Linked DNA regions of Solanum lycopersicum. The protein of the gene in region 3 interacts with the protein of the main gene of each other region in a pairwise test. Links are inferred from orthologs where the notes say so. Each region holds a gene or a part of one and is shown on either strand. Other genes may lie near its edges. The genes, in order: iron-regulated transporter 2 precursor, ethylene-responsive transcription factor 12 and protein LSD1.

What was found.
Region 1: the proteins of protein LSD1 (region 3) and iron-regulated transporter 2 precursor interact in binary tests that used the Arabidopsis thaliana proteins (3 or more experiments, as listed by UniProt). The link is inferred for Solanum lycopersicum from reciprocal best matches to the Arabidopsis thaliana genes LSD1 and ZIP10.
Region 2: the proteins of protein LSD1 (region 3) and ethylene-responsive transcription factor 12 interact in binary tests that used the Arabidopsis thaliana proteins (3 or more experiments, as listed by UniProt). The link is inferred for Solanum lycopersicum from reciprocal best matches to the Arabidopsis thaliana genes LSD1 and ERF12.

Annotation. Positions count from the first base shown.
Region 1 is NC_090801.1:55,364,609-55,370,791, reverse strand, and holds iron-regulated transporter 2 precursor, read right to left. Parts: upstream 4,266-6,183; 5' UTR 4,218-4,265; coding exon 3,615-4,217; intron 2,631-3,614; coding exon 2,481-2,630; intron 2,392-2,480; coding exon 2,086-2,391; 3' UTR 1,974-2,085; downstream 1-1,973. Other genes in the region: iron-regulated transporter 1, read left to right, coding at 1-240. UniProt on the Arabidopsis thaliana protein: Probably mediates zinc uptake from the rhizosphere.
Region 2 is NC_090801.1:58,882,542-58,887,384, forward strand, and holds ethylene-responsive transcription factor 12, read right to left. Parts: upstream 2,643-4,843; 5' UTR 2,393-2,642; coding exon 1,928-2,392; 3' UTR 1,699-1,927; downstream 1-1,698.
Region 3 is NC_090801.1:55,747,291-55,753,379, reverse strand, and holds the start of protein LSD1, read right to left. Parts: upstream 4,266-6,089; 5' UTR 3,848-4,265; exon of another isoform or gene 3,565-3,847; intron 3,391-3,564; exon of another isoform or gene 3,388-3,390; 5' UTR 3,309-3,387; intron 3,146-3,308; 5' UTR 3,144-3,145; coding exon 3,032-3,143; intron 2,664-3,031; coding exon 2,553-2,663; intron 1,173-2,552; coding exon 1,060-1,172; intron 1-1,059.

The DNA.
Region 1 (6,183 bases), about 380 kb from region 3:
ATAGCACTTGGGATAGCATTGTCAACTACTTATGAGGAAAATAGTCCACGGGCGTTAATAACTGTTGGATTACTGAATGCATCATCTGCTGGACTTTTGATATATATGGCTTTGGTTGATCTTCTTGCTGCTGATTTTATGGGTGACAAATTACAAGGCAGTGTCAAACTACAAATTAAGTCTTACATGGCTGTTCTTCTTGGTGCTGGTGGAATGTCAGTCATGGCCATTTGGGCTTAAACTTGTCTTCATATTTTGTTTTGAGTAATAAGTGTGGCCTTCTTTTATCTTCATGACCTATTGTGAGTTGCAAAAAAATTCTGTAAAATACATCATCTTATGTAAGTGTATCCAATGAGTAAACTTTTCCAACTAAATATTCTTCCACAAATTATTAAGAAAAGGAAAAAGGTTTGCTACATTTATAATTTCAAAGAAATCCCCATTCTCATCTGTTGGTATCATTATTTTCCCATTTTATTTCTATTATTTTGACCAAAGATATGATTTTCGCTTCACTCAACACAATAGCTAATCATCTTGCTACATGTCACCCAATCCAAACCTTTGTGATTAGCATCCGCACTAATTTTCCGATGAGAGAATTATTACTATAATTCAACCAAGCAACTTAACGAAAAATTAAGGCATTTAAAGATACACAAGCAGGTTTAATTACTAAAATATTTATTAAGGAACTAAACAAATGAACTAATACGAATGCGGAAATACAACCCCTAGAACGTGAAAGTCAATGTATCAAAACTCTAACAAGATTCATCATCTAAAGAACTAGTCTAAGTCCGAGTAGAATGGACTGTACAAAAAGAGAACTCAAGACAGCCACTAAGAAGTAGCTCACCCTCGAATTCAAATAATCACTCATCTTTTAAGCAATGTCTAGTCAATAGCCGCCGGAAGATACTTTGTACTCAACAAAATGTTCAAAAGTGAAGGTATGTATCAGATTATTTCAAAAAAATCACAAATTTTAAATCAAACTTGTCTACAAATTGTACTAATACAACTTGAATGAATCAACAACTAACTACAACTGAGGTATCAAACATATACATGAATGAATCAACATTCAAGTTATCTAGTACATTGATGTTTCAGAAATTGGTAAATGTAAAGGTTGATACACGATATCAAGTATCAATACTAATTAAGGTTATGTATCAAAATTAATATTTGAACACAATACACTATATATGATAAAATTATAATGTATCATGATGTTGAAACGAAAGCATTACATTAGTTAAAGAAACTCAAAATCAACTAGATACATTAAAAATCTAAACTTACATGTATCAAAAAAGATTGAAAAAGATCAACAATGTGATAGCAAAAATTAACGAAAATGTATCCTCGAACTAATTAGGTAAGCTCAATACTAAAAAAAAAAACCAACAAAATAAAGTGTATCAGAACCGTCACTTAAATTTTTTTGGAACCATTCCAAATGCATTCCAAAAGAATAGTGAGCAAAAGAAGTACTCCATTTTGAAAGAAGAGTGCTACTATAATTAAATTTATTCAGGCGAAATACTAATATACCGCTGGTAGATTACAAATGGATATCCATTATAAACCATTGACTTTGACTATTATAAAACTCCACATAAACAGCTTGAAAACAATTAAGTTATTGTAAAACTAAATAAATGACACGTGGATCATTCTTTAAGAGTCGTCATTTACTTTATTAATATAATGACATGTGAGATTATCTATATTTGAGGTGTAATTATTTGACTAAATGAATAACTTATCAATGATCAAGTATTTAGTTTATATTTTTCTATTGATTATAAATAACATATTTTCTTCGCATAGGAAGAGATTAGAAAAGTTTGCAATATGGCGTATTATTATACTCTCTCTTTACCTGTTCTTATTTTTAATTTAGTTTAGTAATATTAGTTTGTTAGCTAGTTATTTTATAACATAAGTAACAATACTAAAGTGAGGGAAATACATAGCAGTTCAAATTTAACCACGAAATTGAAAAGTACACACGATTACAATTTTGCAATTCAATAAAGGAGGTATTTCACAGACTCATATGAAAAAACAAAGCTAGGCCCATTTGGCCATGAGAGACATTCCACCAGCACCTAAAAGAACAGCCATGTAAGACTTAATTTGTAGTTTGACACTGCCTTGTAATTTGTCACCCATAAAATCAGCAGCAAGAAGATCAACCAAAGCCATATAAATCAAAAGCCCAGCAGATGATGCATTCAGTAATCCAACAGTTATTAACGCCCGTGGGCTAGTTTCCTCATAAGTAGTTGACAATGCCATACCAAGTGCTATACCAAATGGAGTTGTTACTGCGAAGAAAAATGCCATTAGTGTCTTCTTCAAAAACTTGTACTCAGCCTGCATGAAAAAAAATAAAGTTACTATAATAGTAATATATATTTAATTAATGATAGGTACTATTTATTCGGAAAAAAATGAAAACTTGCCTGGAGAATGCAACCACCAAGTCCCATTCCTTCAAACATTTGATGAAAGCAAAGTGCAGCAACTAATCCTTTAATTGTACATGTATTGTTTGAAGCTCCAAGTGAAATTCCTATTACTATTGAGTGAACTATGATTCCCAGCTCTAACACCTGCAAAAACATTACATTTTTATGATGATTTCAATATATGATTTAGAATAAATGAGTTAGAATTAAGGCTATTTAATTAGTCGGCCTGTGTTGATTTTTAATTAAGTTCAAATCAATATGGATGAACCGATTGATTAGCCATAAAAAAAAAAAAACTTAGTCAAAGGGACAAAACGATGTGGATATATTAGGATTTATTAGTAGTAATACATAAACAAATCGACTATGATAGGACAAATTTAAAGTACACAAATAATAGAGATTGTTGTTGACTTTCACCTTATTGAATTGTTTCGTTTCAATAAAATAATGCATGCATACAATATATTATTTATTGTACGGATCAATATATCAAGACAACTCACCACGATCTTTACTCATTACTAAAAAGAAAATGATATATTTTGATTGAATCAATTAGCTAATTAGGTAGGAATAGGATAAGTAATTCATGTTTTATAATACGAAATTCTAACTGATTTAAGGAGGAAAAAGCTTCTATTTCAGCTATCTTATATACTTTTGAAAAAACAGCTATCTTATATACACTAATTATATACACAAATTTTAACTTCTTGTAGTAAGTAGTAGACTAGCAGTAATACGTGGATTTGGCTCCTCTCGATCTATTATATTTTCTCAAGTACATATTTAGATGGACAGTTGTTTTATTTAAAATTTAATATGTACACTAAATCAATTTAACAAAAGTTTTAGCTATAATTAAAGTAGGAAAAAAGATCTCTCCAATTTTGGTAAGAAATATATCACATTAAAGTTGTACTGACAAGTGCCATTAGGCTTCATCAAGTGTAATTTCGATTTTTATTTTCTTATTTAATATTGTGATTTGCTTCCCACTAATCAATTAAAACGAATTACTTTGCTGCTATCAATCAATTCCATTAATTATCATTTATGCTACCTGATTAGTGTCCTAGTAAAGGACAATGACCAAATTAATAAAAGATGAATAAAACTAACCATAGCGATGACTCTATATCGTAGTAATTTAGTGCCTTCAACTCCGTCTTTAGTGGAAAGTGATCCATGATGATGATGTGAATGTCCACCATTTACTGCACCCATTTCTTGATCAGCACCACCAGTTTCTGGATTAACCAAACCAGCTCTATGTTTTTTGCTATACATACTAGTTGCTATAGAGTCAATAGCCATTGTAACTATAGCGGACAACATAGCAACAAATCCAGTGAAGGGGAATTTGTGCCATGGATTCTCCTTAAGGCAACTCGATGACAACATGTCGAATGAGTCAGGAAGCACGTGCATAAACCCCGTAGCCAATATAATTCCGGCAGCAAATGCCTTGACTATCACAAAAAGGTTTCTTTCCGGGCTTAGGGCCGGGATAGAACGTGTGACTAGTGGAAGACAAACTCCGATCATACTAGTGATAAGGATGGAGACTATGGCTATGATTTTTAAGGGTAACGCTTTGGATTTGTTGACACATGAGTTATCTTCTTGCGCTCCACAATCTTCTACTACTGATAAAACTCGAGGGATGAAAATTGATATGAGAATAAAGATGATGGCGATGTGCTTGAAATTATAATCACTCATTGTGCAAATGTAGAGGTTTTTGAATTTTGAGTAGGAATGTGTTTTTTTGTTTGCTTTGGGTTATGATACATGAGAGGTATGATATATATACACACTTAGATATTAAGCTATGATAGATAAAAAAGCAATTCGTTTAAATTAATTAGTTGGAAGCAAATCATGATATTAAATAAGAAGAATATGACATTGAATGATTTTCTATGTATATCATGTACCAACAGCTATAGAGTGATAGAATTTCTTTTTAAAAAAAATATTCCCCTATGTGATTCGAAGAGTTATTACATGGTGGAGAATTTATCAAAGGCGTATAAAGTAGTCACTCGAAGCAGAGAGATTATAACTCCTGAATTTAAAAAAAATACATGTACCTACAAATGGCTACTTTTTTTTAACATATAAGGGCAGGCATGTGTGTATACCCGCTAAACAATGTGGTTTTGATTAATGATTTAATTTTTTTTGCTTGATGCATTACAAAGGCACGTGTTTCAAACGAGTTTTAAGTGGATTTTCCACTTCTTCTTATCCTATACGTGGAATTTACAAAATATAACATTTCATGTTTTATTTTTCAAAAAAAAAAAAGGGTAACGAAGGAATACATACGTTGGAGAATTTTAAGGAATTTATATATGATAAATTAAGATCCAAAAATCTGTTAATTTAAACAGTATCATAATAGTACTTCCATAATCTAAGCCAGCTGTGAGACTTTTGAAAAACTAGAACGTACTATTTTAGTTTATTTTTTGAGAGATGAAGGAGTAATTATTAATTTTGTGATTTAATTTCGTTTCGTATTTAAATAAGTATTTGTTTGACAATAAATTATTCATATAATTTTTATATATCTTATCAATTATTGTGATGTGTAGTATTTTTCACGTGATCTTTAAATATGTAGATTTTCATTCAGAAAAATCTTAGGAATTTCATGTTCGAATTTATAATTAAAAATTAAATTATTTTACTCTTAAATTTAATCGTTTCACGTAAATTTAGGAAAGATGAATATCTATAATTGGAAATAAACATAACAAGAAAGTCTTTTCAAGCTAACAAAATGGAATTGTTTTTTTTTTCGATTTTTTCAACTATTATGGGGACAAAAATTAAATTATTACTATATATATTTTTTTAACTTCTTCTTTCAAGTGCACACATTAACCCCAAAATTACCTCTCCCTTCATCACCCGTACGGAGATGATCTATAGAATTAACTACTTTATCATAAAACGCTTACTTAGCCATAATTAATAAAAAAAAAAAAGGAGTTATTCTCTAAATGCAGGTGTACTGTTCAAAATTAGCTAATCATTGGTGATATTTAAAAACAAAGTCGACATAAATTTGTTTCTTAGTAAGAAAATACTTTGGTATAACAGAAAAAAACTTTTTAAAAAACTTGTATTGACATCATCTCTCAAATTAAATAGAAAGAAACGAATAATGAGAAGCCATCTTTGAGATATATTCTAAATTAGATGCATTAGTTATATATTTCGTACGTTTAGGTACAATAAAGTTTTCTGTCAATAAAATAGAGAATGTCTATCAACAAAAAAAATATTATTCACTAAAATAGTATTATATGTAGAGCCGTCAAAATGAGTTTAGCGCATGGAATCGGATCAGCCATTATTGGAGCAGGGTTAGGATAAAAATTTTCAAGCTCATTTGAAATTGGGAAAATAACAGAAGTTCCACATTTAAATTCTCTTATTACCACTATTTCCTATTAATTTTACAAATCTCCAAAAATCTATCATTTTTGAATATCAGATTAATGTATCTCAAGCATCATATTAATGTATCTCGTGCATCAGATTAGTGTATCATGTATAAAATGTACACCAGATTAGTGTATCTTGTATAAAATATTATGTATCTTACTTAACAATTAATGTATTTCGCGCATCAGTTTAATGTATCAGCGCTTATATTATTGTATTAGTTTGAGGA
Region 2 (4,843 bases), about 3.1 Mb from region 3:
ACACTATTTTTATATGTCTGTCTTAAGCTTTTCTTTATTTTCATATTATATAATAGCCCCACGTACACCCCATTTCATAAAGCCAAAAAAAAGACCTCATCCATTAATAACCCCAATTTCTGGGGATTAATTTGTTGGTCCCCCCTCCCCTCGAAAACAAAAAATCAGATTCCTCTATACTATAATCTATTTTATGACTTATTTTATAACCTTACTATTTTTTCCTGGTACGTTCTCTCAATATAATGGACCCCTTAGCAAGAAATACGAGACAAATATATATTAAATGGTGTACATACTATTTAGTTATATTTTGTTATAAATAAGTTAGTATTCTTTCTTCGCAGTTTCATTCTGTCGTACAGTGAAATTTATTATTAATTGAAGTCGATTAGAATAATTGTAAGTTTTAATTTTTCCATTACAAAATCAACATGGACGTTGGATACAAAACGAAGTTTTGAGTTTCAACTTCTTAGTTCTAATATGTTAAGAAATAATGGCAAAGCCGAAATTTATATTAAGAAGGTTAAAATATTAAAAAATTAAACACTTTAAAAAGTTTGAATGGATCCCCTTACTTTCATATGGCTCTGCGAATAAAAGAATTCATCAATCTTCTAAGACTAAAGCGTTGAATTTTTACAAAAATGTAAAGTGGTATCGAAGAATTAGTTGCTGGTGTCCATTGAATTGAACTTATTATCAAATAAATTCATAAATTTAGTTTATTTCTTAAAAAATTCAAAAGTGGCACCGAAAGTTTTTTTTTTTTTTGGGCCAAAAATAAAGTTCGAGCTCTAATAGTAGTTACACTGATTTTCACCAAAATATACTTAAAAGTTTGCCTTTTGTTGATTGGATTTTGTACCCCATCCACTTTTTATCCATTAAAACCAATTTCTGTCAATCATCCACCATATTAAAATCTATTTAGCACTTCATGTCTTGGATAATTAATAAACTAATTAAGTTAATCTCTTACCAAAACGTACTCATCACAATCAAAATGGATCCCATTCGAAAGTAAATGTAATTAGATGAATAAAATTATAACTTATACATTAATGGGAAGTAGAGAAAAAATCTAAGCATGTATGCTTATCAGCCTGCTATAGTTAATATTGAAAGTAGATTTAGGTCAAAAATAATTATTTTTGCTGAGTAAATTTGTACTATTTAGGGACAATCCTTTGATACTATGTAAGATTTTTCAACCTAAGTTAGTTATTATTATAATAATAATAATAATAAGTCACTTTCTGCGTTTACCCTTTTTCTATACATAACTGGCCTAATTAATTGTAATGCTCTTTCATGCGCCACCTGAAAAGGTGAAATTAAATATCATGTCTCAAAAATCTACCACATCTCAATTGAACAACAAACAAATAAAGTTAATTTAATATGTCAAACATGTACGTATATTTTCACACGTGCAATCATATCGCACAGGTGCGAATCTAGAATGGATCGTGAATGTTAGTAAATAATTTACAAAATTTAATAATTTATGAAAATTCATCTCGATTTATATTCACACAAAAAAAATTTGAATAATATATATATAGGAACACAATTGTTGCGCAAATGTACGTTTTGGACGTATACATTAATTTACTGTATAAAATGTTTTTTTTAAAAAAAAATTAGACTAAAAAGTACAGACAAAGTACTTCAGTTTTATGATGAGCGTGGTACAAAAATATGGAGAATTTGGATTAATATTTAAATAAAAAGGGTATTTACATAATGATGTGCTTCCTCCTAATAATAACATTAATATATTTTCTTCTTTTTTTTCTACTTTTCTTCATAGAAATTACCTTTCTCCCAAAAGCTTGAAAATAGAGAGAATGACAAAAATGAAAAAAAAAAAACAAAAAACGTAATTTTACTAAGTCATTAATTATCCGCCGCCGCCTCCTCACATCCACAACGGCGGCGGTTCGTTCAAGTCAATAGGCAACCCACGTCTCACAATCCCAAAATACATAGCTGCAGCTCCAACATCGTTTTCCTTCGCCGGCGCAGCGACGGTGACCGGCAAGTTAAGTTCCGGCGGCGGACCTACTTGTAGAAACTCTCCAATCATGAGCCTACGTCCGGAGGGGGAAGTCCACCGGTGATCAGATGGAAGGTTGAGATCGAGTGTAAGAGGAGCGGAAGAAGGCTGCGGCGGCGGCGGCGGAGGAGGGGGGAAGTTTGTTTTTGCTTTAGCGCCGCGGAGTGAACGGGCGGCGCCGTCGTAAGCGAGTGCCGCTTCTTCTGGAGTGTCGAAAGTGCCTAACCAGACACGTGTTTTCTTCCACGGGTCGCGAATCTCTGCGGCGTAACGGCCCCAGGGACGCTTTCTCACTCCTCTGTAGTGACCCTCACGAGTGGAAGCCATGGAAATGGGGGAGGAGAGAGAGAGGGGGGGATTTAGAGAGAGAAAGTGTATGAGTGTTGTGTTTGTGTGGGGTTTTGGGAGCTAAAAAAGAGTATATTTGGGCAGCAGTAGTAAAAATAAAAAAGGGACCCACGCAGACACCCGTAATCGTCGGTTGGACGGCACGACCTCTCTCCTAAAATAGGCAAAATATTTAGGTGAACATGTGTTTGGTCGGAAGGAAAATGTTCCGAAATTATAAACAGGCTCTTAAAAAATGAACGAATACTTTTATCATTTCATGGTACTGTATTTTAATACTTATTTTTGGAGAATCGGTTAGTAAGTTACATAAAAATAATGTTAAATAAAATATAGTAATAATGTCTATATTAATTATATATAAAGAGAGATTTTTTTCTTATGCGTTTGATTTGATCTATTAAAAATAACATGTATAATACAAAAAATATTTATTTATAAAAATATTCTGCACTATTATACTAAAAAGCTATAAAAAGAATTTTGAAGGATAGTAGGGTCTTTACTCATACTAATACATATGTTAAATCATTAGCATTAATTGTTGTAGTAAGTTACAAATTTAGGGGCGAATAAAAATTAATTTTACTTAGCAAAACTTAAATAAATAAGAAAAATCATATATAGTAGGGGTATTATTTCGAAAGAGAAAAAAACTAGGTAGCATGGTATACGCCATTGTTTTGACATATCAAACTAAAAATAGGTGAAGTAATAGTTAAACATATGCGATTTCAATAAATTATTTTGCAAATAAACAATTATATATCTTATATTTTACAAATTCTATAGTCATGCTATAGATGGAATGATAAATATAGACTTTTGGTAATGGTAAGTCGGTCCTAAAAAGAGAAAATTTTCTTTCTCTCTTGTTTCTAAATTGCTTCCATGAGAAGCTACAAACTTCGATGAAGTAGTAGTATTTCTTTGATAAGATATACACTCCTGATTTTTCACAAAGGCAGGTGACAACTTTTAAGGAAAATTTACAAAGATATTGTATTTAAGACTATGATTTATAATATAAAATCATATTACATAAACATAATTATTTAATTTGATTTTAGTAAATACTTATGTCCTTCAACGTTGAATATGCACAAATAGATATTTAAATTTGTATAAAATAAAATAAGTAGATACAAATGTTTACATGGCACAATACATCTAGAACGTCATGTAGGACAATAAATTGCCATGTAAAGTATTATGTAGAACAAATGTGTTCATTTGCTTAATTTTATATAAATTTAAGTGTTTACTTGTGCACACCCAAAATTAAATGTCATAGTTTTCAACCGAGTCAAGTTAAGATTCATGTTTATGTATTATGTCTATATAAAATATAACTTTTCTTATTTACAAAATAAATCTTTTAATTAAAAATATGATAATTTAAATTAATAAATATTTTTTAATTTTATTTTTGGTTTTTAAGTCACTAGTGAAGTCGTTTGAAGAATTTGCAAGTTTGTTCTAATTATGGTGGATTCAATTAATCTTTCATTTCCACCCACGTTTCTAAAAAATCTCTTTCTTAGTATTGATAAAGATTAAGAAATAGCCTAAAGTCAAAATACAACAGGGGATAATATTTTTTAAAATCCAACTTTTAGCCTATAGTTTAATTCCACTGATGATAAATTGACGAACGTATAATTTACTTGCATCAAAATCACGTGGGTTGATTCGATTCTAGAAAAAATTATGTCTACAATTGAAGTTACTATTGAAACTAACATATTTTGAAGACAGAAACTATTTTAGCGGAGCAGCTGCACTTTATTTTTAAAAAATTAAAACATATTAATTGATACTTATTATAGTGTTTGACTAGGTATATTATTTGTTACATTTTACTAATTAAATTGCGTATTTTAAATCTTTTCATTTTTTTATATTAATAATTTTATCATTATTATTAATAATAATAATAATAATAGGCCAAATTGTTGGGTTTTCCCCCCTCAAATACCTCAATCACGTCATTTTCTTATTGAATCATTGAACCCATAATTTGTTCCGTTTAAACAAACACCGTTGTCTGATGTGGAACCAGATTTTTGAAGGATATTGATAGAGGGTACATATGTTGTTCCACGAATCATTAGTCTAATTGATGGTGAAAATATTTGAGAATAATTGTGTTTTACTTAAAAGTTATTTGAACACATTAGAAAACAGATGAGACTAGCATGATTTGTCTTCATTCCTTCAATCAAAATTATTACAATTCAAACACAATTAAAGACATTTACAATAGAAAAACTGATCAAAATTAATCAATATTGTTTTAAGAAAACAAATTATTAGTGTTTCAATAATTTAATTTAAAAATAGCGTAATTAAAATACATGAGAAAAAAATCCAAATAAATTTAAAAATAACAATATATTTTTAACCAATATTGTTTTAAAAAAACATAAC
Region 3 (6,089 bases):
TATCAAAAACAACTTCTCTACCTTCGGAATGTAAGGGTAAGGCTGTGTATACACTAACCAGATTCCACTTATGGGATTACACTGAGCATATTCTTGTTGTATTCCGATACATACGCAAATAACATAAGCAATGGACTAGTAACCAAAAGACCTTATTTTGCTTCCTCACTCACCCACTTACCCCTTCTTTTTCCACAATCTGTGATATCAATAACTTCTAAAATTTGCAACTAAAAGTTCAAAATAAGTTTGTATTTAAGTGGGCTGATGATGCTGATATCAAAAGCTCAAGATAAACTTACCTTCCAACATAAGCCTTCTCCGTTAAACTTTCATAAGGATTAAACCACTCTTAACACTTTGCTTTATGTGAAAGTCCTCGAAATGTGCTGACGATTTTCAATTTAATTTACTTGCTTTACAATCCATGATATGAAGCAAGGCTAATCGCTATAATCTACTGATTCCTATAGGTTCAGACTATTAAGTGGAGAAGGAAGAACCAGAGAAGAGCAGCTTAAACAGAGACAAACCCAACAATTCTCCATGAGTAACAATGACTCGGGAATTGGCTATTTTGAAGCATCAACAACAACATGTTCACTGTGCTAATTATTCCCTTCTTATCTTCTTCAATTCCGATCATTCTAATATCATAAATCTTACTATTTACATAAAAGGCTCAACATTGTCATTTTGATTGATTTGCATCACCCTTGAGCAACAAAATAAAAAAACTTACCCGCACTGGTGTTTACACCAACCAATGCATGCAAGACAAGTCTTTCATACACTCATTTTATCACTTATTTACAGTCAAGTTGATATATATTCTCACTTTAAATTGTAATTAAACTAAGACAATATGGTAGTTGGCTATTCTCTGATCCTAACAAAGTAAGTAAATATTATATTACGCACAAAATAGAATTCTCATTACCAAAAGCACAATCTTAAAATTCATTCCTCTTTGTTATTTTACTTCTTTAACTATATGGACCAAGCATCAGCTAAAATTTTTACCAAAGATCAAAAAGAAAAATGAATCATCATACTCACATTAACATTGGTAATATAATGGCATACTGCACATTTAACCGATGGAGCTCCACATGGATACATCAGCATCATACGGCAGTTCCCGCAGTAGACATGAGCAAACTGGTTTGGACCTGAAGATCGACAGCACAATTATATGTCATCCAGGTAACAAGAAACCTAAGCTCTATCGAATGTACAAATCCTCAAACACAAACAATTCATGTAGCTCTTTACCCTATTAAATTCTAGTGAAAGATAGAACATGCAAATGATTCAGGTATAGTCCCCTTAAAATTCAATGAGTTACTATCTCATCTTAAACATCTGTCTTTACCGCTTAGCTCTAGTAAAAGGCACCTGATTTTGCACATAACATTAGTGCCCAATCAGCATTGTGACACTACATTTCTTACTTCTTGGAATGGTCAACCTACAAATGTTGTTGCCTTCAGGACCACCATCCAACTTCAAATAATGTAGCTTCTGACCAAGGGAAGAATGAAAAAATATATTCCCAGCACTATAAACAAGATAGAAGACCTAGGGGGAAAGAAAACTTTTGAGATTGGAAAGGAAAGAGAACAATTCAATATACACCCACTCTGGTTACTCATGCATAGATTCCAGTAATATCTTCTTAAAACCAAAAAAGACACATAGGAACAGACTAGTCAATGACATTTAAGAACATGTGCTTGGAGAAAAATGTATACACCAAGTTAAATCCACCAATTACCAGTCATAACTAAGTTCTGTTTGCAAATTACAGATGTGCTGCAAAATGAAGCAGATATGACCAAAAAGTAAAGCTGATAAGAAGATTAAACAGCAGATATCTATATCTTATGTGACTGGCTACTAGTTTACAAAGAGCACCAGATCAGGTTATTATTTTCGAGGAATAACCACACTCAAGAGAAATCAATTGGACTTACACCTATCTGTCAGGCAAAACTTCTGATAAATTGAGCATCAATAGGAAAAAACATAACACAAACATACAATAATGAAGCTTTTTGGTGATCCCATAACCATATTCCACCAAGTCTGACAAAGACATAAATTTATACAGCTCCCTTCCCCCAGGCAAAAGCTTGAAGTGCTCGAAAGTTGTGAATTTCAGCTGGGACCACACTCTAAACTCATAAGTCATAACATAGTTCAACTAAAAACACAACCATACCGAAATGTTCACTTATGTATTACATAGTTAGATCATCAAAGTAATGTTACTCTTCCAACAGATTTTTCTGATGTAATACAAGAATAAAAATGCTGGTATCTCAATTTGAGATCTCATATGATAAACTTTTGATGAATATGTAGGAAAAAGATCTCATATGATAAATGAAAACAACCGAAGGTCAAGCTTAAGTGGATAATATCAAAAGTTAGATTCATATTCTGTTCAAATGAAGGAAACATTTCATTCCAGCAAAGAGACACTAGATTTTCATAACCAGACAAACATTAGTCTCCGAAATCAAGGGAAGGGATGTTATAAACTGTACCTGGGACAAGGTTCACCGTATGACAGCAGGAGCATCTCACACTGTTCGCTCCACGTGGATGCATAAGTAATGTACGACAGCCTCCACATATCAATTGAGCCATTTCCATTCCTGAGAAAGATCAAAATTTAAGCAACACCTTCGAGTAACAGAACACAATAACAACTACGCTTCAATCCATGTCAAGGCAAAACAACAAACAATACTACATCTCAATCCAAACAGATCTATACACCAAGCCTCCCCAAACCTAGCCCACTTTATGGCTTTATTTACCATGTCAGCATCAAGCATAGCGTTACTATTAGATACTCAAAATGTTTTTAAGTGCACTAATTTTCTTTCCTAACAACAATCTTCTAGCAACAACACTTGTAATCAACATGGAAGGGGGCCATAATCCAAAAATCAGCCACACAAATTTGAAAGAAAAAAAAAAGTACTTATAACCACATCAGAATCAAGAAAAGCACAGATACCAGGTGGTGGGACAGGGGTGAGTGCATTGCACACTGCACAGCAGACATTAGAAGCTCCTCTGGGATAAAGAAGCATTGTCCTGCACCCACTGCACATCAACTGACTCTGCATATCTGTCGAACAAAAAACATTAACCAAATAGTAATGGCAAGCTCACAAACTAAATTGCAAAATGATCTTTGAGTTACAGTTCTCAAGATTGTAATAAATCTAAAAGTCCATCATGAAACAATGAACTTCGTCTTAACAATCTCTGTTGAGACAAAAAGGTTTCACCTTTCAATCTGTTTGAATATCGAGTCGTCTGAGGTAGAAGAGCTAATTTCTGCCGATCTGTGAGGTAAATTTATTCTTCCTGCTTGACAAAATGAAAGAGAACAATAAATACTTTTCTTCAAGAAAGTTCCTTTCATAATTATTCATCCAATGGTTGAAGCTACAATCTTTTTTCTCAGGATTCACAGATTATACACACAAGAAAAATTCCTATATCAAGTTTTTCATGCTAAGACGGGTCAAACACAAATCTTACAAAAAAAATTGTTTAATCAAACACCCATAACCATGAGTGTGGCTCATCAACCAGGTTCAAATCTCAGCAGAGGAAGAAAAAGCTAGGTAATTTCTAGAGCTAACCAAAACGAGAGCCCTTGCCCCAAATTCTTCCTACCCACCAACCAAAATTTATCCACAATCAATTACACCCATCACAAACATGATTGAAAAGTAAAAAAAAATATCATGTTTAGCCTACCAAATTAAAAGGGAAAACCCCCCAAGAAATTGGATAAAGAAAAAAAAAGCAATCTTCTTACCAGTCAATGAACAAATCTGGAAGATAGGGTACCCCTCTATTATAATATATATATCCCCACACACGAAAAAAAAAAAATATACAGTGAAGGGTACTTGAGATTATCTGAAAATGGGTTGGAATTCAAATGGAAATCTGAGCGAAAATTCCGACAGAAATTGGGTAAATTCAAGATTTCAAAAGATTGGTTTTTGGATATTTTTCTTACATCTCCTTTTTTCTTCTTGTTAAATATTGGGAATAAATGTCTTTTGACCTGTCTACGAATAAAATAAAATAAAATAAATTCTTCCGCTTTCAATTTATTTATTTTATTTTATTTTTTATAAAATAATTTTTTAATTATAATTTTATATGATATATTTAAAATTGCAAAATTATAACTGAAGCTATTTTTAGATAAGGTATAATGCGTATATATGTTTTACCGAAATTAATATGTGATGTATAGAAGTTAAATATATTATCTATTAAAATTACATATTTAATTTTATACGCAATTCACATAATTTAAAAGAATATTTGTTCATAGCTAGTCAAAGTTTTTTACTTTGCTATTGCTACGCTGCATTAGATTGAAATGAGATTCGAAAAAAATAATGTTATTTTTTAAAAAAATTGTGTTAAAATAAAAATAAAATAAATGAATTGAAATGAGAGAATATAAATATTAATTAAAAATACAGTTATTATTTTTTTTTTTTAAATAAGAAGAAGGCTTTTGAATAAGGAACAGAGAGTATTCCTGTAAATTTTGAAATTTATTTGTCAAATTTTATCCAAACGCGTTAACTTATATTTTCTAATAATTTTTCCTTTTGTTGACATCAAAGATTTCTACGTAAAAATAAATATTTAAAAAATTAAAGAGAGATAGAACCGAGTGATGAGATTTTGTCAACAGAGAAAAAAATTATGACGATAGATTATTTTAATCACAAGATTTGTCATAAAATTTTCTATTAAAGATTAATCATATGTATTCTAGTCATCCCATAAGAATTCTTAATAGTTGATTCTAGAATTCATTTATCATTTAAATATGTACCTCGTCTACAGTCACACTGGATATTTTTTGTCGTAAAATTACATTATAAATATATATATATTAATAGCTTAGCTAAAAATTTTATGAAGGATATTTAAAAATTTTATAGCTCGTAAAAATAATTTAAAAAATGAGTGTCTTTAAATTTTGTAAATCAAACTACAAAATATTAATTATTATTTTTTAAAATTAAAATATACCAAAATTTTTGAAATCAAAGTACATACTAATTTAGCTTTAATGTTTACGTTTATCTATCTCATAAGAGTGAACGAACAAAAAAAAAGATATTTTAGTTTAGAGTAAAATCACTTTTATACTCCAAGATTTCACAAACCTCTGATGACCAACAACGAGAAATGAAAAATAAAAAATAGAATCAAATGAGTTATATTAAAAGAGAATTTATATAAAGTATTTTCACTTTTAGTAGCATTATGAAATAAATAAATAAAATTTGCTTATTAACTTTAAATTAAATAATTTCTTTTAAATTTTATTTAAATTTTCAATGAAAAGAAAAAAAATAGATTTTGCTTATTAAATTTAAATTAAATACTTATTTTCAAACTTTATAAAAGTGTTTAATGAAAAGAAAAAATAAAAGTCAAATAACGGGAATCGAATCTGCACACCGCAACTTGAAAATAACTTAGTAAGAGTTGAACAATTAAAATCACTAAGCTAGAAATTTTTATTGTTTTTTAAGGGTGTCTAAAATATATTATTTAACCATTTAAATTGTTATTTTACTTATTAATACGGCTTAATTTTCTAACAAAGAGTGTCCACCAAAGGGTAGCTACGCCCCCGATATATATATAAATATAAAATGTTAAACAAATTAAAATTAAATGCAATGAATAATAACGTAATTTCAATAATAAATGAAAATAGACTTAAATTTACACATATATTACATTCGTTGAAAGCGTCTTATGTTTTTATTTCTCAACTCAATTAATGTTAAGTATAAAATGAAAAAAATAATTATCTTTTCTTGATATAATGAAAGTATTAAATAAAAGAAATAAATATATTTAAAAAATTTTGGACAAAAAGTATTAAACTGAAGGGGTAATAACATAATTTCAATAATAAATGGGAAGAGACTAAAACTTACACATATTTTGCATTTTTTGAATGTGTTTTATGCCTTTCTTAACAGAAGAGGTAATAACATAATTTCAATGAT